2 linked regions of the Drosophila melanogaster genome follow. The protein of the gene in region 2 interacts with the protein of the main gene of each other region in a pairwise test. Each region holds a gene or a part of one and is shown on either strand. Other genes may lie near its edges.

Region 1 (13,271 bases), on a different chromosome or scaffold from region 2:
AAATGGAAGCTTCGCGGTTGGATCGTACTTTCTTGGGTGCAAACTTACTCCAATTTAACTGTTGGAAATTAACTATTTTCCTGCTCTTTAGTGCGATTCACGGCGCAGCGAAAACTCACAATTGGACGTGGGTCGTGTCTGTGGAAATTTGAGAGCGCAACGCCCGGAATCGATATATCGATATATTTTGGGGTGTACCGAAAAGGAATACTCGAAAATACCAGAGGACATATTTATCAGTTGATCTGGTAGCGCCGCGTAAAGTAACTATTTGAATCTTTAATTGATTTCTATTGTATTGAAATTGAAATCGAAAGATATACCAACTATGTTTTAAGATATTAATAAAATGTAAATATTTAAATTAATGTATGTATTGTGATGTTGAATGGTTTATTAAAAAATTCCGTTTTATTCAGAATATCTATATAATTTGTGTGTGATTGCTTAAATACGTATATATTAATATTCATGTTCACGGTAGAACCAACTGTAAAATACTATAAAAATATATAGATAATTGTTATGGTAGAGAATAGTTCCTACACCAATTTAAGGTGTTTTGTTTAATATAGTTTCCCTGCATTAATCAAATAACTACAGAGTCTAGCAAATTATTCCATTCTGGCCAGGTTCATCTTTCCCCTAGCCAAAGTCCTCGAAAGAACCACGTTGGAGAGGTTGGCTTCGAAGGCAGGCGCTCGGCTGCGTCCTGGATGCAAGTGGAAAGTGGGAGGTGTGGGCGCCGCTGGGCGACGACCAGTCGGCTGGGCACTCTTCACCAGCTTGGGCTGGAGCTGCAGGCGCGACACTCTGTCCACGGACATGCTCTTGGGCCGCCGGGCTAGATAGCTATGGACGTGGCTATTGGAGCCATTGGCAATGTTCAAATTTACCAGGTAGTCCTGCAGCTGCGTCTTTAGCTGGCTGTTCTCCGCCTCCAGGCGACGCTTCTGTTGCTTCAGGCAGGCCACGTCCACGGCCACGTTGTTGACGCGTCGCCAGAAGGACTCCATTTGGGGTACCACTGCCACCTCGTCCTGGTACGTTAAACCAATGTTGAATGAAGAAATTACCTACTGGCATTTTTACTCACCTTAAGAAGATCAGTGGCTGGGTCAGTCAAGGAACCATTACCCTGATCCTCTATATCTCGAATCTCGATAATCTCCTTGGATATTTCCGGCAACTGGAACATCCGCTCCCGCTGGGTTTCCATCTTGGCACAGACCGCAGACAACTGTGCCAGAGTCTCGCCCTTGGCCACAGTTTCCTGGAGGAATTCCAAGGCATGGTAGCTCTCCACGGACATCAGCTTGAACAACTGGTGATCCCTGGCCACCTCCTGTTCCACACAGGTGCGTAGCTCCCTTAGTCGCTCGGTCAACTGCTGTTTGATGGCTTGCCGCTGCTCCAGTTGGCCCTGTTGCTTGATGTAGAACTCCTCGGAGACCAGACGCAAATTGGTCAGCTGGTCTACCAGGTGCTCGATTTCGTGGGTCTGCTGGCTAATCTGGAGGGCTGCCTCCTCATCCCGCTGCTTCAGATCCACGTACTCCGAGTAAAAGCCTTCGATGTGCTGACAGTAGCCCGCCAGAACACCCTGATACTCCTGCCACAGCTTCTCCAATCGAGCTTCACCTCTGGAGGTGATCTGCTCCAGCTGTAGTTGCATCTGGAAGTGGGGTTCAATTTAACATGTTTTCATAAACTTTTAAAATAACCTTTATTGTAAAATATAATCATCGAAGAGCATTGCACGCAATTGTAAAATTAAGATTGATATGTGTCTTGGTTCATTGTGCGTCAGTCACTCTGTAATTTGGATGCCATTCTCCAGAACTATAAATGATGTGGGCATAGCTGCTCCTCCATTCAGTTCCCAAGATGAAACAGTTGATTTTCCTGCTGATTTGTTTGAGCTGCGGCACCTGCTCCATTTACGCACTGAAATGCAGATCCCAGGAGGGACTAAGTGAAGCGGAGCTCAAGCGAACTGTGCGCAACTGTATGCATCGCCAGGACGAGGACGAAGATCGAGGACGAGGTGGACAGGGCCGGCAAGGAAATGGCTATGAGTACGGTTACGGAATGGATCACGATCAGGAGGAGCAGGACAGGAATCCAGGCAACAGGGGCGGCTATGGCAATCGAAGGCAGCGAGGACTAAGGCAATCGGATGGCAGGAACCACACCAGCAACGATGGAGGTCAGTGTGTGGCCCAGTGCTTTTTCGAGGAGATGAATATGGTAGGTGATCCAAGAGATTCCTTTCAAAGTCGAAATCCTTCAGAGAAGCAGGAGCTTATTCCTTTCAATTCTCACCCACAGGTGGATGGCAATGGGATGCCCGATCGGCGCAAGGTGAGCTATTTGCTGACCAAGGACCTTCGGGACCGGGAGCTGCGCAACTTCTTCACGGACACCGTGCAGCAGTGCTTCCGCTATCTGGAGAGCAACGGAAGGGGCCGGCACCACAAGTGTTCAGCGGCCCGGGAACTGGTCAAGTGCATGTCGGAGTACGCGAAGGCGCAGTGCGAGGATTGGGAGGAGCACGGCAACATGCTCTTCAATTAGGATTAAACTCACCCCACTTTTTAGGTCCTCGCAGCGGTCCAAGAAACGCTCGTGGTTGTCCCGGATCCCGCCATCGGTGTTCTCCTCCAGCTGATAGAAGACGCACTCCAGTTGCTGCTGCTTCTGGGCATGCATCTCCTTGAACGCGGCGGAGTCCTGCTCCCACTGGCTCAGCACCGCCTGCTTGTCGTCCTCGTAGATCGTCCGAAAGAACTCGATGCGATCTCTATGGGTATCTGGGTAAAGGATAAGAAATAAATGGGTTAGAAATGAGGCCTAGTTGCGTTGAATGGTTTGTGTCCATTTTAATTTTCATTTTACAATGCTTCTTATTGTTCATAAAATGTACATCAAAATACTCCAGTAATTTTTGGATTTCCAAATATTTCAATGTTCTTATTAACGAAAGCATTAATATACATGTGAAATCCATTCCATTCATTTTAAGTATCTTTAAACATATTGCTGTAGCTGTGTATTTAGTTTCTGATTAAAATGTTATTTTTAAGGATGTTATCCCAATCGTACCAACTATCCTGGTGATATTCTCCATGTGTGACTGCTGCAGATTGGCGTACATATCCTCGGTGGATTCTATGTGAGCAATGAGGCGATGGATCACCTGGTCCTTGCGCTTAAGTGCCTCCTGAAAGAAAGACTCCACATCGACGATTTCGCGGCGCAGCTCCTGGATTTTCACCTGGCGCAAAATGCTCCGCCACTCCTGGTTGATTTTAGCCATATTGAGTCGACCAAAAGCATCCTCTCTTTTCAGTTTGTTCTATTTTAATGGGAAAAGTCATACCATAGGGATTTTGATTTTGATTTACTGCAAATTCGTGGTGTGTTACCTTCATGTACATGGAAATGAGCTGCATTTTCCGCCGCCTCGTCTCTTCCTCCATGTCGGCCCTCATTTGCAAATACCTGGCCCGCTCCTCCTCGGACATGTTGGCCAATTTGTTGCCTTTTCCTTTACCCTTTTTGCCCATGATTTAGTTTTTTTTTTTTACGGCTACCAAAAATCAGCTTATCAAATTTCAAAGGCCAATCTCTGACTAATTAGGCGAGCAAAGAGCCGCCTTGGAAAATAAATAATAAATTGACTGCCGGCGTTGCCATGACAAGATTCACTAGCCCACCCACTCCATATAATTTCGCTTTTCGTCGCCAGGTTTGTTGCCATAATAATGGATGCGAATTAAATTAATGCGAAACAGTGGAAAACGCCATTAGGGCTGTCCATCAAAGGGGAACCATTTGACATATAAAACTGAGGACGAACCGCTGGAAAGCTGTCATCATGCTGAGAATTGGTTTCGTGATTTGTGTGATTATATCACTGCGCTTGGTACGTACTCATAACACCGTTTTCAATTTGTTCTGGATTGGATAATGTTCGAGGGTGTTTTTAATGGATTATCCACACTAGATCGGATTTATTGTACATAATAATTTTGAAAGTTCAAGGTCCATCGGGGATCCGTATTCGAGCTACTTTTTAATCCTTTAATATGTGCATATTTCTATGCAGAATGGACTCGTGGCTGTCCGAGTTCATTGCCGGCACATGGAGCGTATTCACGAGGAGAACATCCACCATTGCTGCAAACATCAGGATGGCCACGACGATGTCACGGAATCTTGCGCCAAGCAGACCAACTTTCGTTTGCCCAGTCCCAATGAGGAGGCCATCGTGGATGTGACCGTGGACCAGGCGATGGTTGGAACCTGCTGGGCCAAGTGCGTCTTCGATCACTACAATCTGATGGAGAACAACACACTGGATATGGACAAGGTGCGCTCGTACTACAAGCGGTACCATCAAACAGATCCGGAGTACGCGACTGAAATGCTGAATGCCTACGAAAAATGTCACACACAATGTGAGCTCATGCAAAATAACCATCAACATAGTTTAAAATTGAATTTTTCCATTCCAAATTTTAGCTGAAGAGGCCACCGAAAAGTTCCTATCACTTCCAATTGTTAGGGCCTTCTCCACCGCCAAGTTCTGTAAGCCGACCTCGAGTATCATCATGTCCTGCGTCATCTACAACTTCTTCCACAATTGTCCAGCGAGTCGCTGGTCAAATACCACCGAGTGCGTGGAAACCTTGGCCTTTGCTAGGAAGTGCAAGGATGTGCTGACTACTATGTAAGCACTTTAGAGTCCTGCCTCAGGAAATACATTTTAATTGGGAAAACGAAATGATTTTCCAATGATTAAAGCAAAACAATGGCTCTCAATTCATGTGCTCTTTTGGTTTATAAGTAATGGTGGGTGATTGAATGCCAACTCAGCAATACATTTAATTAAATGGATTTATTGTTATCAAATCACTTGCAAAAATACGATATTAACTAATGTCAAGTTGATCGTATTTGTTTACCATTACATCCCTATAAAAAAAAAAACATCCAAATATACAGAATAATTCTGAATGCATAACATTTTTTCATCTAAACAAAATAATTCGAATGTCGTAAATCGTAAATTTAATGTTCTTTATTGCAGAAGAATGATATTCTCATTATTCACAAAGTAGCCAGCGAGTCCTGGCACTTCTTGCTGAAGGCCAGGGTATCCTCGCACTCCTTGGTCTTCGACCAGCGATCCGCCGGGCAGTTGTGGAAGAACTGGCGGATGACACAGGCCAGGACGACACTAGACTTCGGATCGCAGAATTGCTTGGACATTTGCTTGAAGAGGGGCTTCGACAGGAACATGGAGGTATTCTCTTCGCCTTTTGGTGAAAAAAATATCAGTTAGCCAAGAAGTTCTTGCTGAAATAACAACTCTGTACTTTTGCCGTGACAATGATCAAAGGCGTTGATCATTTCCTTGGCATATTCCGGATCGTCGGGAAACCTTTCAGTGAACAAACTTCTCACGGCATCCATGTCCAGGTTGTTGTCCTTCATCAGGTTCAGTTTGCTAAAGACGCATTTGCCAAAACAAGTGCCTCGGATGGCTCGGTCCGCCGTGATGTCCACCAGTGCCTCCTCGTTTTGATTGGGCAGCGTAAAATTGGTCTCCCTGGCACATCCTTCGATTAGATCATTGTGTCCATCGGGATGCTTGCAGCAATAGTGGATGTGGTCCTCGTTAATGGCCTCCGTATTCTCGCAATCAATTTTAATTCCACCAGCAAACTAAGTCATGTATTTGAATATATATAAACAGTGTGAATTTCATTCCTCGAACTCACCCAAATCAGGCTGAAAAAACTCAATAAAATGGTGCACTTCATTGCTCCGCCGTTTATACCAAAATCAGCCCACTACGACAGCTTATATAGTCACCCACATATCGTTTAAATAAAAACAGGAAACCGCTGCCAATTTGCCAAATGTCGAGCCATCAGACTGTCTGCAAATGTTTCTTTATCCGCTCATTTAATTCCAGTCATTACAATGGACATTTGTTACATTTAATTAAGCAATCCAATTTGGGTTTAAATTCATTTATCCAAAATGATGAGCACGCATGGTTTTATAAATGTTATGACCATGGTAAATTAATCACATTCGAAAAGCAATGGTCAACATTGTTTGTTATTGGACGTTCCTAATTCTGGTGGCCGTTTCAAAGGCTCAGGATAATGAGGAAACTACTGCAGTTGCCATATCTTCAGGTGACTTGACTGAGGATAAGTGTAACACATCGGTGAGCTTACTTTAAAACCGAACAGCAAACGTATTAAGTCTAAAAATTCAATTTAGAGGGCTGGCTGCTGTTCTGAACTTTATATAGGAGAAGAGGAGGACCTGGTCAAGTGCTTCGTTATACACTCACCCAAGTTGCCAGTGGATGGGGACGCTGACATCGGCAAGACACTGAGGTTTCTATCGGTAGGTAATTAAAGCTTTATATATCTATTATAACGAAAATATTTGTATCTTCAGTGCTTTGTGGAGTGCCTGTACAAGCAAAAGAAGTACATTGGTAAGAGCGACACCATCAACATGAAGATGGTCAAGCTGGATGCAGAAAAGACATTTGTGGATCGGCCCAAGGAGAAGGATTATCACATTGCCATGTTCGAGTTCTGTCGCAAGGATGCTGTTGGGGTCTACAACCTTTTAAAGGCCAGTCCTGGGGCTAAGGTGCTCCTGAAAGGAGCCTGTCGCCCCTATCTATTGATGGTATTCATGTGCATCAGTGACTATCATCAGAAGCACGAGTGTCCCTACTTCCGGTGGGAGGGCACTGCCAAGGCAGGAACTAAGGATATGTGCGAAAATGCCAAAGCCGAATGCTACCAAATAGATGGAATTACACTGCCCACAAAGAGTCCTGCCTAAGAATACGTATTAAAAAAACTCAAAAATGTCATGTAATAAAATTAAGCTTATAAACGCAGTATGTTTTTTAGTTTTAATCACACACCACACACATAAATTATTCGCACTGATGAATCAGTTTCAGATTCGCTTGGCTCAAGCGGGAGACCAGGATGGGCTCAACAAGCTGATTCGATCGCCAGGTGTCAAGTGGTTCGGCAATATCCGTCCGAAATTTCGTGGCAAGGACTCCCTGTTCAATTCCTATCAGACCTACAGGATATTGGCTTTTTGCACTGAATCCTCCGCATTGGTGGCCTATGCCGAGTTCCGTAACTATCCCTCCATTGCCGCTTTGCCCACGGATTGCTGGTTGGAATGGTTGTCCACCAGATACTGGTACTGATACAAGGACTTAAAACGTTGAATATATCATCTATTTCCGATATATCCTTTAGCCTATCCATGTCCATTAGCTGGCTGAATGCGTTGTTTTTCAACTTTTGCGTCTACAAGAGCGATCAGTCCCCGGTTCTGGTTGAGATCATAAAGGATGTGCTCTACAGGGAGAGCAGGGTGTGGTTTCTGATCACTGTTAGGTGTCCGTATGTGCCACAACCCATCCACTTTGTGGAAACCTTCGATGATTTGGAAAAAATATCCCAGGTCTTTTACCCGCTGGAATATAGCATGGATAAGAATAACAACACACAGTCCCTGTACATTGTGGATAGGTTCGTAATTCTGCCGAGGATTACTTACCGGAAGGCACTGTAAGCTCTGTTCTTTGTGCTCCTTGTTCAAATTGTATACTATATCAGAAATAGCATTTGAAATTTTAAATTCAAATGCCTCTTAAAAAGCAGCAGACTACTAATCAGTTTGTCTGAAATCGATATCGCCTACTAAGATATTGTTAGATATTGTTAGGCATTTGAAGAAACTGTTTCAATAACATTCTTGTTTTGTTTTAAATATTTCCCATGAAGGGCCGAAGATAACGACGATATTATAGCAATGCAAGAGGTCGAGAACCCAGAAATGCGAGAGGAGCTGGGCGACTACTACATTGCCGAGGAGGTAATGGGACAGAATCCGAAGAGTATGCTTGTTGTGGCCGAAACAATCAATCAGTCGCAGGAGTCAGAAATGGCCATCTTTCTGTGGCTGTCCTCGGATATAGACATTATGTTCTATGTGCGCAACTACGAGATGGAACAATTTGGCAATCTGGTGAAGCCAGCGGATGGAAGGTCCTTCCACTACGAGACGATGACGGTGTCGTAAGTGATGGCTTTACGTGCGGAAAGAGTAATTCCTTACCGACTGTCCTGCAGATCGGTACAGCGAAGAGCGGAGGCTAGCATGTTCACCGCAGATGCCCTCGACGATCTGAATGCGGTGACGATTCTGGGAGGACTGCAAAAGGTTGACAGCGGTATGAGGTGTGATTATTTATTAATTTGTAAGGCAAATATCCACAATGATTTATATTTCTCAACAGCGTGGCCAGCCTGGGTAAGATGAAGGTCAGCTCCATTGGCGGCACAATTGTGGATACAAATGTGGCGAATGAAAATAAGTTCTACATGCGCGAATGTCTGTACTCCAAGTTCAAGTACATTCTTGAGAGTGAGTTGTACTGCGAATGCCGGATGCTCCGTTCATAACATGGGTTTATCTAGAACTCCACAGCACCGATTACTATCTGCGGCACGAACAAAGCGTGATTAATTTTATATATCCGGCCGGAACGGAGCCCGCAGGTCCGGCGGCCATGGCGGCGGCATCAAACGTTTTCCTTCTCAGGTGCATTGTGGCACGACAGGATTTCCCACTGCCACGCCTCTTCAACGCAATGGTGGCCATTTTCAGCGCCTATCCGGACAGGGATTACTGCATGATGCTGATGTCGGTGAAGTACAAGGCGAGCAAGAGCTATCTGGAGGTGATGCAGTACTTTATGGTAGGCCAGACTTAGTTTAAGTCAACGAAATAGTTTAAAATAGTTCATACACCAGCCAGTCGCATCACGGCCAAGTAATCTGTCCAGCCTGGACGATGTATTCATAACACATCGCAGCACCATCTTTGGGGAGATTAGTCTGTACAAACTGGAAAAGGAGGACGTGGCACATGTGCACAAGTTGGCACTTGGGAACTTGCCCAGTAACACACAAACTCCTAATTCAAGCAGCAGCAGCTTCTCGTACTGCTCCAAGGTAAACGAGCGGGAGGAGCTGGAGCACGAGCTCCATGTGCTCGATGCGATCATGAAGGATGTGCTGGAGAATGAGTTTAGTGAGTTCGCCGTGTTCACGATTCGGTGTGGGATCTCTACGAGATCTGTTAGGGAAAACACTGCGATTGGTTTTGTGATTGTGCGAGAATTTCACAGTCATGAAAAACTCTTTGAACACTACCACCTTCCCAAGCAAGAATATCAGTTGAATCGACGAAGGGCAGAGATCATATCACTGCGTTTGCATCCTCTTTTCTTGGTTAGTGCCGGTCTGATATTTAGGGATTTGGCCAGGAAGACAAGCTTTTACGATTATTATTTCATTCATTCTGTCGACGTAAGTGAATAGTGCGCTAGAAATTTACTTTTGATAAAATTACTCTTTAGGGCTATAAGTACAGCAACGACTTGAAAAAGATGATGATGGTCGTAGAGCCGAAGCCCATTAAAAAGGTTCCGGTATTTACTAGGGTCCAGGCGAATCATAAAAAACCGAGGAAAAAGCTGGATCTACCACCGCCAAACTTCTCTAGGGATAATTTGATCATCTATCGCCACAAACTCAATCCGGTTAAGTGGTTTACCAACAGCCAAAAACTGGTCATCATTGGATTCAGTGCAGTGACGAAGGCCTTTCTGCGACAGCTTGTGTTTCAATGGAATAGCAAGGAGTAAGTATAGGGTTACATTGTTTGCGATTTCGAATATGAGCCTACAAGACGGATTCGTTTCGTCTTTTTAATATGTTTGATATTTCTCATTAGCCACAAGAACTCGGAAAACTTCACCTGTTTGACTAGGCTTCAAGTGACCGTGATTTGCAGGGCGGGTATTGTAGAGGCGGACTATGACAGCCTATTCAAGTGTCCTTATTGCACTAATAGGCAAGGATGCTATCTTTCGTACCGAAATGAGTCATGCTACGTGAGAGATTGTTGCATGCGGATTGATTTGCGATGCTGGGTGCACTTTGTGCCAGGAAAGGTCGAAAAGGTCGATAGGTAGGGTAGTCATTAACTTATGGAACCTAGTGACTGACAGTGCTCTCAATATGCGTAGAGATAAAAAGTTTGTGAAGCTTGACTCGTGCGAAATTTACTATGACACGCTATTGCTGATGTGTGACCGGATGTTCGTGCTTCGCTGTATAGATGTGCCGGTGTACTCGCCACGACCTTGCAACCTCGTCGAGATTAACTTCCGGCTGAACAAGTTCCTGCTGTTCTACAAGGTTCGAGCACTCCTGGAGGATATGCCGCGAACGTATTTGGTCCTGGTTTATGGCAACAACTTACACACCTACGAGTGCATTGCCTTTCTGATCGGCCACGGTGTGGATTGTTCGCGGATGGTGTTCGTCCAGCCACATCGCATCACTGGAAGGGATGCGGACATGAAGGAAAAGTGTCCATACTGGGACAAAAACTTGCAGATGATCATGGACGACATCCTAGTGGAGAAGGGAGTCAATATCTTTACGGACTATGACTTTCACCATTACAATTTGCATAAGTCAACAGACTTCATTATGGAGGTGATATTTCAACATTTCCCCACTCAAAAACAGATGACCTTCGAATGCGACCTCTTTATCTCCTTCCAGGAGGGACACCTCCATCAACGGCACAAGCAATGTAAGTATGCTTAATGGCTAAAATCTTTGGTAAAAGTTGAAACTTCTTAGGGCTAGAAAATGCCGGCATCGAGCTCGACGGTAATCAAATTCTGGTAAACGAGCGCTATCAGACCAATGATCCAGATGTCTATGCAGCTGGTAGCTTCATTAAAATGCGTATTACACCCAACTACCAATATAAATTTGTCAGTGAAAGAGAGTTGGCCCGCAAGGTGAAAAAGGCGTCGTTTAACTCATTTTATAATGTCCAATTCAGATCCCCAATTATTTTTAGATCTTACATCATCTGGGCATTGTTACGGACAAGAATTTCGAGGATCGATTCGCCGAACCTGTGCTCTTCCAAGCCATTCTTCCGTTGCGGTACTTCATCACAAAAGTGACCATGCCTCGGAGATACCTCCTTTCCCAAGTGCCTGTCATAAAAAATTGCAACCTGACCACGTATAAGAACAAAACCTTCTGTCGTGTGGGTCTATCAACGCGAATGATGGTGGATGAGATCGTGGTTGTAACAAAAAAAGTAAGACTATTTTGTGCAATAAGTATATTCATTCGAATAAATGTTGTCACTTTAGGAGTGCAATTTGGACTTCTTGCTGTACTTTTGTGGCAAGCACGAGTTGCTCCTGAACAAGCTAAAGTCACGCTATAGAGCCAATTTGATTCACTGCTTTTTGAAGTTCTTCCAGGAGCCCTGGACAGAGCTGATCATGCATGATGACTTTGAGGAGCTCCAGGCGGAGAATAAGGAACTGCTCAGCCCCATGGCCATTTCGGCACTTTCAGTGGGTTGAATGAGGTTCATTCAATATATTTTCCCTTTGCTATTTGAACCTTTACAGCGTCCAGGTCGTGGAGCCTTGGGCGAATTGACGGATATGGATTTCTTCACCCTGAACAAGCGCTACATCGAGCTCAAGCTACTGACTTTCCTAAGGGAGCATCGAAGAGACTTTCGTCACAAGTTCGCCCTGCCCGAAGACTTTCTCAAATTGGACCTGGCTGATTACGAGCGATACATGGATACGGAGGAAAATGATTCGTCGTCGGACTTGAGTGAAACATAGTTTTCAAATGCAAAGCAGTCTGGTTGTGTACTTTCCGATTTTCATGTGCAGTGCTCAGACTCAAATACACATTTTACTAATTTAAAATAAAAAAAATATGACCACCAGCAATGATAATATATTAATCGTCACAGCGGGAATTCGGGATCAGCGGCGCATAGAAGACCTCTATGACGCCAAAAGCACTTGGCACTTTGGGGTGAAGGAAACACCACCACTGGACACTCTTTTCTTAAAAAATCAGGCGCAGCGACTGATAGTCTACAATAAGCAGGAGTATCACTTGTTGCTGGCCTACAGCGAGTTTGCCAACCATCCAAATATTCCGGTGCTCGCAAACGATCTGTGGCTCCATTGGCTGAATGTTCGCTTTTGGTATGTCACTTTTGAATGAATCCTAATTTAAGCTCTAGGCTCACTAATGTATCTCCTCCAATAGCGTTGATCTTCCCATCACGCTGCTCAATGCAATATTTTTTAACTTCTTCATCTGCAAGGATGGCCACAGCCAAATGCTCAAAAAGGTCATCTTGGAGGTCTTCTACACCGAGCATTTGGTCAATTATATGCTGGTGTTTAAGCCACCAGATTGCCCGCCAGGCCAATACGATGCCGTTCAGGCCTTTGGCACAACCTATTACCCAAAGCACTCAAAAGTCTCGGAGCAGAAGCATCTGCCAGCGGTCATCGTGATCCAACGGCGCAGCACCATGCCAGTGTTGTCCTTTCGCAAGGCGCTGTAAGTTGGTGCCAGAAATCTGAATCCATGCCTCCTCCTTTTCATTACTTCATTACCAGACCCGAGGACAATGACGATATTGTCGAAATGATAGATTCCGAGGATCCGGAACTGCGTAAAAAGCACGGCGACTTTTACATCGCAGAGCACCTATTGAATGCGGAAGGTTCCGATTCCGATCATAACGATAAGATCATAATTGCTGAGGTGCGTAGGTGTGTGTTCTTTGTCCCGAAACTGACTTAAGTGAAATGTTGCAGTTCGAGGAGGAGATTGCCGATAACGTCAAGGGAGCTGGCCTAATGTGGCTATCTCAGTCCCTTGATATTAAGATGCTGGCCACCAACTATCACTTGGAACGTTTGGGCAACTTGGTGCGGTACACACCGGGTTGTACGCACGCCCATGTTGGATTCGAAGTGATGTAGGTGATTCATGCACTCCATTGGAAGAAATCTTCCTTTCAATTTTACATTCATATTTAGCTCAGTAGAACTGAAGTCGTATAAGGAATTGTTCACAAGAAAGCAAATGGAAGAAAGGTATAAATCGCACGTGAGTAGAATTAACACAGATGGACAGGATGAAACGAGGAATATTTTATTCAAAAAGTACAAGCACATCTACGAGGGTGAGTAAAAATTTAACGAGGCTACCACAGAAAACGCCAATCGAGCTTTCTCTATTATAATCATTAATATTTCCAGAACTCCGAGAGGG
Region 2 (17,562 bases):
TGTTCATGGACAAGCGTGACCACACCGAGTTCGATCTGTTGACCGTGAACGAGAGCAGCGTGGAACCACCGACCGACGACGACAGCTCATGCAACTCCCCTCGCAACCTGGCCATCGAGGCGACTTTCATTAACCACAACTTTAGCCAGCAGGTGCTTAAGACTGGAGACCAGGAACCCAAATACAAGTTCGAGGAAAGCAACCCTTTCATCAGCGAGGACGAAGATATCCAAGTCGCCAGCGTGGGCTACCGCTACAAGAAGTGGGAGCTGGGAAGCGATATTGTAAGTGTTGCATAATCCAACTTTAAAGTTGGAATATTTTTCTATATTATGTTAAACTATTGTCTTATACTTTTAGGTCCTGGTAGCGCGTTGCGAGCACGATGGTGTCCTGCAGACGCCAAGCGGCGAGCCGCAGTTCATGACTATCAAGGCACTCAACGAGTGGGACTCGAAGTTGGCCAATGGCGTGGAATGGCGTCAAAAGTTGGACACGCAGCGCGGTGCTGTGCTCGCCAACGAGCTGAGGAACAACGCATGCAAGCTGGCCAAGTGGACTGTGCAGGCCGTCCTGGCCGGGTCCGATCAGCTAAAGCTCGGCTATGTGTCGCGTATCAATCCGAGAGATCACTCGCGTCACGTCATCCTCGGCACGCAGCAGTTCAAGCCGCATGAATTTGCCACTCAGATCAACCTGAGCATGGACAACGCCTGGGGAATCCTGAGATGCATCATCGATCTGGTGATGAAGCAGAAGGATGGCAAATACCTGATCATGAAGGACCCCAACAAGCCGATCATCCGTCTGTACGACATCCCAGACAATACTTTCGACTCCGATGACTCGGACGATGGCGAGGGCGATGACGAAGGTTTCCAGCAGGTCTACAACTACGCGCACAACAAGATTTAGACGCCACGCCCCCCTACTCCTGCATCCCTTCCAGTCTTGGGCTCTTTTGCCACAACCCGCTAAGAATAACCACAACTGATGTCCTCTAAAGGAAAAGGTCATGTTATAGGCCCTAGCTTAAGCATTTGTATTCGATTTAAATTCAGATATTTCCTAGTAAATCACAGAGGGCGAAACAATACATGAATTTTTATTGGTCCAGGTCTAATGCCGGGTACTTGTGATAAAAACTTTCGACTGAAACACCGAGGTCTTGTACGTAAATGACTGACTCATTTCCCGGACTCATATATAGTAAGCTGATTGTGCGTGTCGGGCATCTAGTTAAGATTTAGACATTGTTTAAACTCTGACGGTTAAAGATGGTCTTCCTACAAAGAGTGTACATATCCTTCCTGGTCCTGCATACTCAATTGCTGATGTACCTGGCTGAGTCTGGTAATATATGTTGCAAGTACTCCACATTGTATACGTTATAACATTCAAGAAAATGATTCATTTGGATATGGGTATTTCCTTGAATTTTAAAATATAAATAGCTTTGTTTCGTCCAATCATTATCTAAACATCCAATTAAAATGACTCACATAATATAATATTTATTAATATCCAATTCTTTACTGTATCAGAATATCCGCCTTGTAATCTGGATGAGAAATGCATTAGTCTAGCCCGCTGCACATCACTCTTGCCCTTTCTGAAGCCCCACAACATGACGCCAGCCGAGAAGGCGGTATTCGAGGACAGATATTGCGGCTATGGCCCCAAGGGGCAGGAATTATTGGACAGAGTTCTCATCTGCTGCCCAAATATGGGACACATTTTGCCAAATACCCAGATATGTGGACCAATCATGCCGGCTTATCGAATTTTCGGAGGAGAGGAGACGCAACCCAACGAGTTGCCTTGGATGGCCCTGATTCTATATGCGCATCGCAGCCGTTCGGTGTGGAATGAAAGACTCGTGTCCAGGTGCGCTGGATCCCTGATCACAAACCGCTATGTGCTGACCGCAGCCCATTGTCTGAGGATAACGGGATTGGATCTCAGGAGGGTGCGCCTTGGCGAGCATAACATTTTAAGCAATCCCGACTGCGTCACCCATATTAATGGTAGGGAACACTGCGCTCCAGAGCATCTGGAAATTGACGTCGATCTGAGTATCAAGCATAGGCACTACATGGTCTTCGAGGAAAGGCCCTACAACGACATCGCCCTGCTGCGATTGAAGTTTCCAGTACGGTTAGTTGCACTTGACCTGTCATATCTTTTACTACATATATATATATATATATACATTTCATATGTCTTTAGCTATACCGCTCAAATCAAACCCATCTGTGTTCAACTTGACTATATCTTCTCGAATCCGTCCTTCAGCAACCATAAGTTGCAAATAGCTGGCTGGGGACTCTCTCATAAGCAGGGCTATAGCAATGTGCTGCTACAGGCCTATGTCAATGGCAGGAACGCGGACGAGTGCTCATTGAGTGAACCATCCTTGGGATTGGACAAGGAGACCCACATATGCGCCGGCAACCTGGGAGGCAATGACACATGCAAGGGCGATTCCGGCGGTCCGCTGATGGCCATCATGGAACGTGGTGACGAGGAATTCGTATATCTAGCCGGAATCACATCCTACGGGTACAGTCAGTGCGGATACGGACCAGCAGCTTACACAAAGACATCCAAATTCGTTGAATGGATTCTATGGAACATGTACACTAATATATTCCAATGAAATAATCAAAATAGTAGAATTTGGTTAAGAAAAGAAATATTTATTGTCCGGCACTGAGCCCAAATTATCGCAAAAATAAATTAGGAAATTTCATTGAGTCATTGGGATTTATGAGTTTGTTGATCCATTTTATTCTGTATATTTAGTGTCAGATCGAGTTTGGATGTCTAGCATGTCGGACAGACGTAAAGTTTATATTTTGGTCCTTCTCCAGGCCATTTTCTTCAACCAATTGGCTGAGTGTGGTAAGCAAAAGCAATGATTTTTAAGTTTTCGTAAAAAACCGAAGATGTTATATCTTGCTCAATAATATCCTTGCAGAGGATGTGTGCTGTGAATAGGTCACGTTCGACCCCATGAATTATAAAAATTATCATATCCATCGATCCGTTTTATTATAAATCATATTCAAAAATAATAATAATAATAATATTTCCACATAGACTCGTACTGCTATACTTTATCGGGGCTTTCACTTATCTATTTTTGTAATTTATAGTTCGGTTATCAAGCTGCCAAAAGGATGAGAAATGCACCAGACTGGTTAGCTGCTCGCCGCTTATGAACATCCTTAGGCCCCGGGGCATGACCCAGGCGGAGAAAGATGTGTTTGCACACAGGCAGTGTGGCCTGGACCCCAATGGACACGAGTTGTTGCACATGGTTTATGTCTGCTGCCCAGAGTTGGGTGACGTCTTGCCCAACAAACAGACCTGTGGACAAACGACGCCCGTGTTCCGAGATCGGGGTGCCGAGAATGCAGAGCTTAATGAGTACCCTTGGATGGTATTGCTGTTATATGAGAATCGGCTATCCTTGATGTGGAATCAACGAACTGGTTGTGCGGGCTCACTGATCAACAGTCGCTGTTCACACATGAACACGAATATATTTAAAGACTTACAATTTTGGGCTCCGTTCATATCTTATGTAAATGAATCGAGAGCGATAAATTATATTTAGGATTTTGTTATCTAAGGCGACATGGGTGCATTGCTCAAAAACATGTAATTTAAGTGCACACTACATGAGTCAGTCACTTGAGATCTTTCCCCGCCTCCTAAAATAGTCCCTTAGTGGGAGACCACAGATAAGGTCCTCGCCGCTCAAGATAGGCAGATGTGCCCGAGCGTGGGACCTCGATAAGGCGGGGACTATTTACTTAGGCCTCTGCGTAGGCCATTTACTTTAAGATGCGATTCTCATGTCACCTATTTAAACCGAAGATATTTCCAAATAAAATTAGTTTCTTACAAAAACTCAACGAGTAAAGTCTTCTCATTTGGGATTTTACAGTCGCTATGTGCTGACCGCTGCCCACTGCGTGATCGGTGGTTACTTGACGCAGAATGACCTGGTTCTGAAGAGTGTGCGCCTGGGCGAGTCCACTACCGACTGCATCACCTCGGAAAGCAGGTGTCCACATTTGGATGTGGAGGTGGGGCAAACAACAGTACATCAGGGTTTCACTTCGAGTGGCGGAACTTACCGCAACGACATCGCCCTCCTCCGATTGCAATTCCCAGTGCGGTGAGTAGCAGTGATCTCCACCCTAATCTCCACATCTTATGGAAATTTCTTTACAAACCCGCTAGATACACGAAAAAGATCCAACCCATTTGTCTATTGGACGCCGAATTTCCCCTACAGGATTTGAATTTGCAAATCTCTGGCTGGGATCCGACTAAAAGCAGTCAAACGTTGATCACCAGCACGGTCAAGGAAAGGAATCCTGCTGATTGCTTGAATAGGTATCCCAGCTTTCGCTCCGCGTCCCAAGTATGCGCCGGTGGTCAACGGAAAGGGGACACCTGTGCGGGCATCTCCGGCAGTCCGGTAATGGGCATCATGGGAAGCGGCGTCGACGAGTTCGTCTTTTTGGCAGGCATTGCCTCATATGGACAACAATATTGCTACTCTGCTGGTATTCCAGGTGTTTACACAAAAATTGGCCACTTTTCGGAGTGGATCAAAGCGAATTTGGCTCCCTAATTTTAATAAAGAATTCATATTTGCAAAATTGGAATAGCATCTGTTCCATTAATCCACTACTATAAAGTAATAGACCTATAAAACCCCAAAAGATAAGAAAAAGCACTGAAGATTGTTTTTTAAAAAACGTGTTGTTCAAAAAACATAACGTGCCGAGAGAAGATTAAGCATAAATAAATTTCTAATAACTACACCGCTGGGTTTGCCCAGCTCAGCAGAACTACTATGTAAATATTAAGGCAGGGAAAGACCACCCTATTCACATAGCTTTTGCCTTTGTTGCAATCTAGATGGTATTGAGTCCGGAGATAACCTCTGCTAATCACGCCCAATGCATCGGGAGAGAATCGGTGACAGCGAAACTGCCGGACAGCTTGGTTAGTATCAGCTTGGAGCCCATAGCGACGAGATGGCTTCTACGGAACGGAATTTTCTGCTACTGTCACTGGTGGTCAGCGCATTATCCGGCTTGGTCCATCGATCAGGTGGGTAAGCTGTCCTTTGGGCAAACAATATCCACAGCAACTGGATGCAATGGTGCTTCTTTCAAAAGTATATAGTTCTATATATATAGTATAGTATAGTATATAGTTTGAATAAAGCTAGAAAAACTAAGCACTTGACCTTGTTGATTGTGAGAATAAAAACCATAACAACTAATAATCAAAGAGTTTTTGAAAACTTCAAATATATTAAATATCAACATATAGTTTCCCGGACTAAGAAATTTTATGAGAAATATTAGACATGAAGTCCATTAGTAGAATGGATTGCCTTTAATGGATTGGTTCAGAACCGGTTAGACTGCATCGTAAATCGCGCTCTTCTCTTCCAGACGCAGCGGAGATCAGCTTTGGCAGTTGTACGCCCCAGCAGAGCGATGAGCGCGGCCAGTGCGTTCACATCACCAGCTGCCCCTACCTGGCCAACCTGCTGATGGTGGAGCCAAAGACTCCCGCCCAGCGAATCCTTCTCTCCAAGAGCCAGTGTGGCCTGGACAACAGGGTTGAGGGCTTGGTGAATCGAATCCTGGTCTGCTGTCCGCAGAGCATGCGGGGCAATATCATGGACTCGGAACCAACTCCTTCGACGAGGGATGCACTGCAGCAGGGGGATGTGCTGCCTGGAAATGACGTCTGCGGCTTCCTTTTCGCTGATCGCATTTTCGGGGGCACCAATACGACCCTCTGGGAATTCCCATGGATGGTATTGCTGCAGTACAAAAAACGTGAGTAGATTACCTACCCAGGCTCTATTTTAATCTCTTATAGGAAGGTTGTTTCACGAGGTCACCTGTAATCATTTTTTAATCACTTTTTCAAATCAAATTCTCCAATGGGGGGATCATCATTATAAGAAAACGCATATTCAATATATACAAGGCTATTATTAGTATCTAATCAATTTATAATATGTACTTGGGAAACGCTCTTTATCCTTTCAGTTTTTTCTGAAACCTACACTTTCAACTGCGGCGGTGCATTGCTCAACTCGCGCTACGTCCTGACCGCTGGACACTGCCTGGCCAGCCGAGAACTGGACAAATCCGGTGCCGTTCTACACAGCGTTCGCCTGGGGGAGTGGGACACTCGTACCGATCCTGACTGCACCACCCAGATGAACGGACAGCGCATCTGTGCACCGAAACACATCGACATTGAGGTCGAGAAGGGCATCATCCACGAGATGTATGCTCCCAATTCCGTTGATCAGCGTAATGACATTGCGTTGGTGCGCCTTAAGAGGATTGTTAGGTATGTGGTCCAGAGATCCCTCAATTATTCCACTGACTTGCTTTTTTGTTTTTGCCACAGCTACACCGACTACGTGCGTCCAATATGCCTTCCCACGGATGGTTTAGTCCAAAACAACTTTGTGGACTACGGCATGGATGTGGCCGGCTGGGGACTTACCGAGAACATGCAGCCAAGTGCGATCAAGCTGAAGATCACCGTCAACGTTTGGAACCTAACGAGTTGTCAGGAAAAGTACTCCAGCTTCAAGGTGAAACTGGACGATTCTCAGATGTGTGCCGGCGGCCAGTTGGGCGTGGATACATGCGGTGGCGATTCCGGCGGTCCCCTTATGGTGCCTATATCCACGGGCGGCCGGGATGTCTTCTACATTGCCGGCGTCACCTCCTACGGGACGAAGCCCTGCGGCCTCAAGGGATGGCCCGGCGTCTATACCCGCACGGGGGCTTTCATCGATTGGATAAAGCAGAAATTGGAGCCATGATGAATACATACTTAAATACATGATAACCATGTGAAAAGCGCGATGTAGATATTGGGGTTTAATCAATTCACATGAGATCGGCACTGTCAAGTTTTGCGAGCACAACCGGTTGTAATAATATCGAACCACTTTTCTGTCAATCTGTGATCAGCAAAGTCTGGTAGTAGCTTGCCCACGTAATTTCCCATATTCTAATGGAAAAGTAGAGGAAAATCTCTGGAACTCATTTATCTCTGTTGCAATAGCCATCTCACTTGTCAATCTAGACGGCAGATGTGCCGGAGAGCTTGGTCAGTATCGGATTGGGTTCTGGGGTATCGAGATGGCTTCCATGGAATGGAATTTTCTACTATTGCTAATGGTCATCTGCGCATTTTCCGAGTGGGTCCAACATTCAGATGGGATGCCATAAACGACAACGATTTCACCTGGATCCGCTTAAAATTTTGAAATATATCCACACACGAGGTGGAGAAGGGCATTGTACATGACCAATAGTTGCCTAATTCCGTAGACCAGCAGAATGACATTGCTTTGGTTTTGAAAAGGAGTGGCATTGAAAAGGAGTGGCGGGTGTGTGGGATGTGTGAGTATTCCATAACTTCTTCATCATTGTTATTCATTCACCAGCTACACCGACTACGTGCGCCCCATTTGCCTGCCCACGGGCGATCTGATCCAGATCCAATTGTGCGCCGGCGGCATGTACGGCTATGGATACCTGCGATGGCGATTCTGGCGGTCCCTTGATGGTGTCCATATCCACAGGCAGCCGGGACGTATTCTACATCGCTGGCATTACTTCCTACGGCACGAAGCAGTGCGGCCTCGGTGGATAACCCGGTGTATATACCCTCAGGGGGGCTTTCATCGATTGGATAAAGCAGAAATTGGAGGCATAATAAATAAAATTGCTAGTTTATTCACATTTCTCGCATTGGCTAGCTTACAATATTACGTACATGGTGCTGATTGGACGTGGGATGGACTAACTAAGCTAGGTTCTAGTGGAATGCCTACAAATATTCGCGTAGGCCAGCGTTCACAATATTCGCAACAAAACATTAAATTTTATTTGTTAGCTGGCCTGATAACAACATAAAGTAAAACTCGCTGACATTACATGAGGCGGATTCCTTTAACAATTTATGCTTAGTTGCGCGCTATATATAATTCAGCTTTGTTTGTTGTTTTTTAAACTAATAACCAATAATCGTAGAAAATTTTGTTTAACTAAAAGGCTGTCTGCCAGCAATACGAGCGGATAGAAATTCGAGATTCGAGATAGGGGCTATAAAACGCTGACACTTGCCGAGGGCCAGATCAGACTCCCAAAACGCAGGCGGCAAAAGTCTTGTGGTTCTTCTGATAGGCACCATTTTCATAGGCATACGCTGGCCAGGATGAGTGGCAATCAGATCTCCTCCGGAGCAGCGCGCGGGGCAGTGCCAATTCCAGTCGCAATGCCATTACGTTCATCCGTAACCAGATTGGCACCCAAGGCAGTTAGCTCGCTTTGAAGTTGGCTCAAAACGCGCTTGACCGCTATGCAAAAGCCTCGACTGCATGGTAGCAGCGGGAATTCGGGTAGCTCGCAAGACGCCTTGTACTCCACAGGCATGTCTAAGAAAATGGATTATGAATAATCGAGCAAAACTGAGTTATTGGCTGACTCACCCTTGATTTTGGTTATATTTTGGCGCTGTGCCTCAAGAGAATACTCCGACCAGGCCCGCATGCGGGCATACAGCTCGGTGCCAAACTCCTTGAAGTGCTCAATAAGTTCATTGCGAAAGATGAGCGGCGGATTTGTCAACTGCTTCACCGTGGATTGGGCAATTTTTATGATGGCCATCTCGTTGTAGACACGAGAGTTCTCATTGCCCAGTTGGGTGCCTAAAAATAAATGGCGAAACCATTTTAAGTTCAGTCTATGGCATTGAATAGAAACAGCACTTTACCTCTTTGCTTTTCGTAGCCCGCCTCATTATAGTAGGGCTCATCGACCAGTATGAGTCCCTGTATGGAGACGAGCACCTGGAGCATGGTGCTGCTGGGCGACCAAACTTCGTTGTCGCGTCCCATCCATGTGCCAAGTAGCGACACACATACCCTGCCACCCTCGTACAAGTTTGGATTGAGACGATCCGTGCAGTAGCTGATGTAGTGGCACACCGGCGGGCTCTTCGGGTAATCGCGCCCAAATTGAAAGTCGAAAAAGAATAGAGCGTTCTGGTAGGGCGTGCGCTTGGGACCCACCATCATTACAGACATTAGGTCCATGCGATCCTCGTAGGCACGTACCACAACTCCGTTAGGTAGCGAGGACTTAAGCATAAGATATTCCCGCTGCACAGCTCGCTGATACTGCGCCTTGTTGGCCGGGGTAATCAGGTTGCTAATAAAATTATGTGCAGCTGGTGCATTGGGCAGCACTTGGAAACAATTCTCGTCCACGGAGGGCGTGTCTGGAATTATTGACCAAGATGGTGAGGAGCAGGCCATGGGACCTGTCTGGTCAATAGCCGGCAGTGACTCGGAAAGCGCGTTGAGATTCAATGGCTCTTCCATAGCTTCGTCCTCAGCCATTGTATTGCACTCGGTAGCACCATCATTGGCTAGTTCCGCTTCCTGGCTGACCGCCTCAATAGCTTCCTCTGCATCGCTAACATCCTCTTTCTCTTGCTTGGGATTGTCATTTGTCTTGCCCAACGTCACAGCGACCGTCTTGCGAATTCTGGCCATTTGAAACTTGATCAAATAACAGAAGACTTCGCAGACGTCAGCATCTCCACTTGCAACCAATTCAATTTCCAAATCATCCATTACATTTATTGTGGGATGCTTTATGTCCAACTTATTTTCGCTGTCTGGATGATTATTAGACTCGTCAGAGGTGATTTCACCGCGAGAGTGTACGCCAGAATCATTCTGGCAGCAAAGGATAAGTTGTAAAAAAAAAACAAAATTCTTTATTGTTTGAAGGACTCTTACCTTAGTACGATTTTCAATCGCTTTTGCAATGCTTCTACGTGCGTTGGCGAACATTTCGTTGTACTTGCAGCGATACTCCCTCACTAGCGGCGGATCTTCTATTACCTCTACTACCTCCACCTGGTAATCTTGCTCCTCCGAGATCTCATCCGTGCTCTTTTTGCATAGAACTTCATCCATCTCCGTAGAGGATTTTCGCTTAGTAGGACTTGATGATGACTGAACAGACGGATCCATTAAAACTGGTTCCAACTCAGCTTGGAGCGTTGATGACTCTTTGGGAACGGCGGCCGACGTCTCTGGGGTCTCTGGGGTTGCGCGCTCATGGGTGGCACTGTCAGAACAAACTTTAGAGGTAATAGGCTTGCAACGCACAATGCCTTTGAAATTAAACTCGTCGAAAAATTTAGTATTTAGCAAACGGTCTAAGGCCCGGCAATTTTTGTACACATCCAGCAGATCGTAAAGCACTTCCGCTTTCCGATTGGGATGTAAAACGCGGAACATCTTTTCTAGCACTTTCATTGCCTCTGTGGCTCTGTCAATGCCCGTAAGAATGTCGTCATCGTTGTCCGATGACGATATGTGGCTGTTTTCCGATTCCGTCTCCCACGAGTCTTCGGATCCATCTGATCCGTAGACATCTTGATCTTGTTCATTTTGTTCATCTTGTTCAAATGGTTGAAAGAGATCCTGAGGGTAGCACAATGTGATATGGCCCTTCGCCCACCAAACACGCACACGACCATTCGGGTAGTTGTCGATCACCTGACCAGCAGTAGAGTTAACATCCTCACCCGTGAAGTTTGACACTCGGATCACCACTGTGCCGGGTCGGTACTGGTAATCGGTGTGATCCTTCATGTCATAAACGCTCAGCTCCTCCAATCCTTTGAACAAAGGGCTAAACAAAATATATAGAATTATAATTTATATAGCTAAAAACAAAAAAGTGCACTCACATTGGATTATCAATATTCGTGTAGATATTGAACCACATGACCTTGGCTATGCGTGCATCATGGTCCACGCACTGAATTACCCCGTAGTCTGTGGCTCCCGTACTGATATCGTTGGCTTTGGTCACAAAATCACCGGGAAAGAATTCATGGTTGTCCAAATGATGAATAGGATAGAGCTGAGTGGAGTGAACGCCTGACTCCACCGTGCCATCCTGCCAGACGACCGTCACCGAGCTGTAAACGACCAGCGTTTCCACTACGATTTCATCGCCATCCTTGGGAGTGGTTTCCTTTTTATTAAAAGGCGAATAAATTGTTTTCTTGACAGAGCGGATTTTTTTCTTTACTTGTCGCCTCTTAGCAGATCGCATCGTTATTCTGGGAGCCTGGACTTCGACACCGGCTGCAGCTGTGGTAGCAGCGGACGGAGGCAGTGCGTCCTCAGCAACCTCCACTTCTTTTTCGGCAGTCATCGATTGATCAAGTGGCTGCATGAACTCCTCGAACTCATCCTCATCCTCCGATGTCAACACATCCTCTTTGCTGCGCTTAGACGACTTGCAAGCATTGTGAGTCTGGTCGCTTGGCGGTCGAGGCAGTCGCATACCGCTGATTTTATTGGGCATGCGGCGGAACTTTGGTACACTGCGAGCATTTCCACTAGTGGAAGCAGATGCGTTCAATTTGCTGGCCTTGCGCTGCATTTTTTTCTGGGCGTGAAAAATGGGGATGTACTTCTCCGCTGTAATACGTGAAATACAATATATATATATATAATTTATTGTTACCTCTAAACCTATTTCCTGTTAACATCCTACCTTGTTCATTTTCCCAGTCGGCATATTTAACTAATAGATCACATTTTGAATATTTGAGGTAGAATCGATCGTGAATTTGCAGCTCGTAGGACTCATAGAGGCTAAGGCGCTTGACTTTGTGCAGTTCCTCACCCTTGATCAAGGACCTTGGCTCCTTTAGAGGATCGCTGTCTGTGTCATCGCTGCCCGTGGCATTTCCGATTGCACGGCAGGACCAATCCACATTAATTGATGTAGTTTCTACAGACTCCACGGTGTACTGGATAAATAAGGTTATTTTCAATTAGCGATAGTATGGGAGGGCCTTCTTTAGTTAAGTAAAAATGTAATTAATCTACTATGACAAATCAAACTAGGGCGAATGCTACATAAAATAATAGCGTAACTAGTATATACAATCGGTCAATCTGAGACTACAAATCTATAAAGGATTAATATCTCCCTACCACAGCACGACCCTTGCGAGTTAAGGGATGGGTAATCTCCGGGGTCAGATTCTTGACACGATCCGGGGGCGGCATGCGACCGATTACAATGTTTCCTGGAAAGAAGACATTCGGATTGAAGACCGTGCGATCGCATTCGGACACAGCATCCTTAAACTTGTGGAAATCGTTGGAGGTGATTTCCACACGGGCACCGTTGGATGATCTGCAAAAAAATATTGAAAATAATGTTCGCCCGAGTTGATTGAGAGATATGAAACATACTTGAGCACAGCGCACTCATTAATGTCTATGATGGTGCCTATCCAGGTGTCCATGCAGAGAGGCACATATTGGTTCCACTCGGATATCGGACGCAGTCGCTCGGCGGGCACATTTTTAATGACCATTCTGGAGCCCATTACCATAACATCGGCGCGTACATTGACATCCCGCACGTAGCCCGCCTGGCCAGCCAAAACGTTTTCTCCTGGCAGACGCCTCCGCACCACATCGCCTGGCATTAGGGTGCGATCCGCCAGACCAATCTGTGTATATGCCACATGTTCGGATGTCGATGGAACAAAAGAAAAGAAGCAAACAAACACGTGTCAAAAGAACTTGAAGAGCAAACTCAAAACAGTTGTGAAAACAGTTATTTTTTTGGAGAGACCGTGAGACTTACATAACCTCAATGGAGTTTACTCACCGACTGTTCCGTCATCACCATCTCCTTGCCACCCGGATAGAAGGCCACACGCACCTCGCCCCTGGACAGCGAATCGACATCTTCCTCTTCGGAGGAGGAATAGGTCTCGGTCGTTGCGGTTACCAAGCCAAAATGGACGCGACCGCGCCGATCAATGCGAAAAACCCCATCCTCTAAGAAGAACTGGGACTCGGTGTTACCCTGGGCTTTCGATGGCACCTGGCCACCACCCGATCGACGGGAGTGGGAATTTGCGTTATGGCGGCTCTCCTGGTTGGGGGTCCGACCCAGCTCCTGTGAGGATGGAGGAGGATTCGCAAGCGTCGGTGTACGCGGAGCAGCCTCCGCCAAAGACTGTTCCTGCTCCTGCTGCGGTTGACCTGGTGTACCACCTGGAGCGGCCGCACCCGCCACATCGCTCATCATGTTACCAATCGTAAGCTGGGAACATGGACGGCAAGAACTTTGCCGTGGCGAATGCTCGGTGAATATATTTCTTCTCCCTTTATTGGCCACTAATTATTACAAATTCCTATAATATGCCCGACGAGCCACTGACACACAAACACACATCTAATTTACGGACACTGGAGCAAACTATAAATTTGCTTGGACAATTTCGCCAACTTCTTTCGAAAAACTATAAATAAAACAGGCAAAATCTACAAACAAAACGAGAAACTTTGATAAAAAGAATTTTGTGACTGAAAAATACCGGAGTTAGATAAAATCAATGGTTCCGAGTTCCAGTGCCTTTAAGCGAGCACTCGAACCATTATCTTGATAACAGCGCTCTGTTAAGAGAAAACAACGGTTGAAACAAGATGAGCATTTGCCCGCGAAATTGAAATGGGATAGTCTAAATACAAATTCAGTTACTCTCAATTCCGTAAAATAGTAACGCGTGTTGTTGTCTGCCTAAAAACTCACCGTTACGTTGATATAATAATGTAAATGTAAATGTGCTTTTTCCAAAAATTTCTATTATCAAATGTTAATTTGACACATCGTTCAGGGACTACTTGTATTTTAGACATGTACAGAGCCAAGTGTATCACATCATAGGCGCACTAGCATCAAAATGCTCCCTTCCTTTTCCAATAAAGGTAACGCTCATTGCGTTCTACCAAGTTAAAACAAATTCAATCTCATTTTAATACCCCGTTAAGCATTTTCCATAAACAATGAAACTTGGTTTAAAAAGAATTGTTTATTCACAAAAATTTTAGCATATATTTCTTCCAATATTGCACTTGGTCTACATATTGTCACATCTAACTATCATAGGCGGAGCGAACTGGTGGTGGCGCACACCAAAGGAGTAGCCCGGTCCACTCTTGCCAGGACGATAGTACATGAGGTCGTAGTAGTTGGGTCCAGGTCCGACATTCTCGCCCGGAATAGTGGTGCGCGGCTGCATCGAGTATATCGGAGCACGTGTCAGTTTGACATTGATATCACCACCGCCATATGCAGCCGGACCCGGAGAATTCGTCTTGTTCAAAATCTTTGTTTGTAGTCCCCTGAGATACAGGTACAAATAAAAATAGGCAACTTAGTAAAGGAATAACTATGGTAGGATTGAAATACGCACATGCTATAGCTCGGGACTCCAGGACGAACGGCATTGACCTCGTACTTGTAGGCATTGGGACCGGGACCATCCTTCTTGAAGTTAAAGTCCGTTCGTAGGCCCATCGAATACGAAGGAGCATTAACCCCCTTAAAGAATGGCCTATTATGAACATCGTGTGCTCCCGGACCGGGACTGCTTCGCTTATCTACGATTAAGCAATTTAACCAAAAACGTTCTTGTCTTCAGTACTAATAAGTTATCTTACCGATGACATTGGTTCTGGGCGCCATCGAGAACTCCAAACCCTTGCTCGTGCCATAGCGAGTCAACTTGTCCACCTTGTAGGCCCCTGGACCAGGACCCAGATCCTCACCAGGAGCACGGGTGCGCATGCCGAAAGAGTACTGCGGCAACCGCTGTTTGCGGTTGTCATGCTTATCATAGCCCACAGTGGGGGGCAGCATGTAAACGCCGGGTCCAGGGCCTACAAAAAGCATGTATAATATATTATTTACCACATTACAATTTTATGAATTCTCACTCACCAAAAGGTCGCACCGCCATTTTTGTTAGTTTTGTGCAATATTAGAAAGAAAATCTATTTTGAAAATTTAGAACCCAATATTAGGTGTTGGCCGAACAGATTCCAGTAGCAGAATGAGGCTTTCATAGAACTTCACATCGCAGCTCCATTCGAAGTCAGAGCCATAGCACACTTGTTATAGAAAAGTTTTACCACCGTAATTCCTTCACACATAACCCATTCAAATATTAATTACGTAATTCTTTTTATTCCGAAAATTTGATCATAATAACCTAAGTTACTTCAAGACATGGCAAAGTGATTTTAATAATAGGAGATTCGAATTTTATCGGAAAAATAAATTGTTTACGAAAATCAGCTCCAGATATATTGCTTTATTGAGCCAAAGGAACGCCTTATTTGCACACTCAAGGTTGTTTGCTATTTTGCTGGACAACTGGGCAGTACAGCTTATTCCACATCCATGGAGTTGTAAAGTTGTTTATACCTAGATCCCCGCCCGCTGCTTTGGAGCAGCATATCATTATGCTGTTCCCTAAGGGCCTGTTAAAAAAAAAAACACATATAAATAGTGACGGCTTAATCGAAAAATATAAAAAATGTTGATACCTTTGGATCGTATTTCTGATGCAAGTAGACCAATATTGGGCCATAAATCATATTGAAAATGCCGACAATGCGCATCAGCCAAGCAAATCCAAAGGTCTGGGCCAACTCCCCGCCAATCAGGGGAGCTATAAAGATGATAAAAATACACTTTTTTTTTTAGAAAAAAAAAAAAAACAATATCCACTTACCTAAGCAATAAGCCAGACTGACAGAGGTCTGCTGGATAGCATAGACTGTTCCGTAGCTGGACATGGAACTGCTGCCCTCACCCTGATCCTCCTGAGCCAGTGTTGCATCCACAAAGGTGGCCAAGAGTGGAACCAATGCGGCATCGATTACTCCAATACCCAGTCCCAAGGCAAAATGGGGCAGCAATAGTTGGGCCACCGTTGTAGCACTGGGTATCTGCAAAGTAAATAATATATTTGCAATATATTTCCAATTCAGGTTTTATAAAAGCAGGGCTCTCACCAGAATAGAGGCTACTCCCACCAGCAACAAACTGATACAGGACACCTTAACCTGACCATATTTGTAGGCAATGCTGCCGAAGAAGTTCGTGCCCACAAAGTAGCCCACAGAGTCTGGAATGAAAACGGTGCCCAGCTGCCACTTGTTAGGCTTTAGATACTGGATTAGCCAGATGGGCAGACAGGGCTCCAGCATGGCCATTGTTGAGGTTGAAAACCAAATGGCCAGCACAATGGCCAGGATCATTTTGCATTCGAGCAGCGATCGCCACTTGGGTCTATCCTCCACCACAACCTCCGGTTGCACCGTCAGATCCATGGTCAGGAGCTGGAGGCCCAAACTTAGGAACATCAGAGTGGAGAGAATGATAAAAGGCGCCGATTTGCCCATTAGGTCATACAGAATTCCACCGAATGGATAGCCCAGCAGCACACCCAATGCGATGCTGCCCAGGATGATGCCCATCACCTTGGAACGACGTGCCTCCTCCGGATAATGCTGGGCCACCAGGCTCATGCCGCATATGTTGATGCAAGCGGATCCCACGCCCTGCACAGCCCGGGCCACCAGGAGAGCCCAGTAGGATTCACCAACGGTGAAAACTGAAAGGTAAGTTTGGAGAAAGTTGGATATATCGTTTTACGCATTAATAAAATATAGAAATATAATACAATATAAAGTTCCATAGAATTATCAAAATTTGTTAAAAAAAAAAAAAAAAACTGAATGTAGAAGAGTTATCTTCTCCAATATTAATTTATCCGCCTGATGAGGTGTCTCCCAATTGAAAAACCAATCAATGCCCCCAAAATAGACCACTTACCCAGCGAGGAGAGGAGCAGGAAGAAGGTGCCGACCACAATGGGAAGGCGGTAACCAAACTTGCTGGACGCATTGCCGACAATCGGATTGAAAATTAATTGGACCAGAGCCTTCATGGCCAGCAACAGGCCGATGGAGCCATTCTCCTGCGTCAAGGTCAGCTCCTTGTTGCTGTTGTCATTGCTGCTGTTGTCGTGGGTGGGGGGATGGCCGGAGGCCAGCTTCCTGTTCCTGCTCTTGTGCCCAATTCCAGTGACATTAGTGCCGCCCGACTGGCCAACCGTCAGCTTTGGAGGCGATTGCATGGACGTAGAATTGTGCGGGGAGTTGGTCGTTGTGGCGATGCTGGTGGTCGTGGTTGTGGCTTCTGTGGACAGCTGGAGCAGTGTGAAGTTAACCATTGATTTGCCCGGAATCGGATGCTTAGAAATGTACAGTTGAGGATGACCGCCGCCTGGCGATTCTCCAGACCGATAGCCAAGTTTCGAGAATGACGATGTGTCCTCCAGACTCAGCACTACCGCGGACGATGTATCCGCCTCCAGGCTGGCCAGATAATCCGGCAGGATGGGCACTGAAAATGGCGAAAATTACCGCGTTTATTACCGCGCTTATCTGTAATTGATTTGGCCATTACCAATTACGGTTAGCAGCATGTTATCTAGCAGCAGGGCCAGGTAAACAATCACGGCAATCAGGCAGCGATTGGAGGAGCCATTGGCTCCGGATGGAGTGGAGCTGCG

The links.
Region 1: the proteins of CG10254 (region 2) and Obp58c interact in a two-hybrid assay, tested with the Drosophila melanogaster proteins (one large-scale study listed by BioGRID).

Annotation. Positions count from the first base shown.
Region 1 is NT_033778.4:22,700,830-22,714,100, forward strand, and holds Obp58c (Odorant-binding protein 58c), read right to left. Parts: upstream 5,850-13,271; 5' UTR 5,832-5,849; coding exon 5,790-5,831; intron 5,734-5,789; coding exon 5,385-5,733; intron 5,325-5,384; coding exon 5,116-5,324; 3' UTR 5,043-5,115; downstream 1-5,042. Other genes in the region: CG30259 (uncharacterized protein), read right to left, coding at 615-1,040, 1,097-1,675, 2,590-2,813, 3,106-3,358, 3,429-3,569; Obp59a (Odorant-binding protein 59a), read left to right, coding at 1,888-2,250, 2,332-2,577; Obp58b (Odorant-binding protein 58b), read left to right, coding at 3,881-3,928, 4,112-4,463, 4,528-4,739; Obp58d (Odorant-binding protein 58d), read left to right, coding at 6,119-6,247, 6,304-6,432, 6,487-6,885; CG30275 (uncharacterized protein), read left to right, coding at 6,995-7,263, 7,323-7,637, 7,854-8,147, 8,202-8,309, 8,369-8,496, 8,550-8,830, 8,886-9,443, 9,494-9,777 and 6 more; CG30268 (uncharacterized protein), read left to right, coding at 11,910-12,187, 12,252-12,551, 12,611-12,758, 12,812-12,975, 13,037-13,182, 13,259-13,271.
Region 2 is NT_033777.3:23,681,226-23,698,787, forward strand, and holds CG10254 (uncharacterized protein), read right to left. Parts: upstream 13,759-17,562; 5' UTR 13,728-13,758; intron 13,502-13,727; exon of another isoform or gene 13,301-13,501; 5' UTR 13,224-13,300; coding exon 12,798-13,223; exon of another isoform or gene 12,781-12,797; intron 12,637-12,780; coding exon 12,374-12,636; intron 12,315-12,373; coding exon 12,110-12,314; intron 11,923-12,109; coding exon 11,664-11,922; intron 11,588-11,663; coding exon 10,846-11,587; intron 10,788-10,845; coding exon 9,884-10,787; intron 9,821-9,883; coding exon 8,851-9,820; intron 8,786-8,850; coding exon 8,567-8,785; intron 8,513-8,566; coding exon 8,304-8,512; 3' UTR 7,782-8,303; downstream 1-7,781. Other genes in the region: eIF3d1 (eukaryotic translation initiation factor 3 subunit d1), read left to right, coding at 1-284, 361-915; CG16710 (uncharacterized protein), read left to right, coding at 1,278-1,353, 1,545-2,157, 2,230-2,659; CG18754 (uncharacterized protein), read left to right, coding at 2,832-2,904, 3,159-3,480, 3,956-4,189, 4,255-4,651; SPE (Spatzle-Processing enzyme), read left to right, coding at 5,061-5,136, 5,487-5,879, 6,096-6,405, 6,466-6,889; CG10252 (uncharacterized protein), read right to left, coding at 14,056-14,320, 14,392-14,578, 14,639-14,857, 14,919-14,937; prt (portabella), read right to left, coding at 15,368-15,460, 15,527-15,651, 15,715-15,931, 15,998-16,599, 16,821-17,393, 17,457-17,562.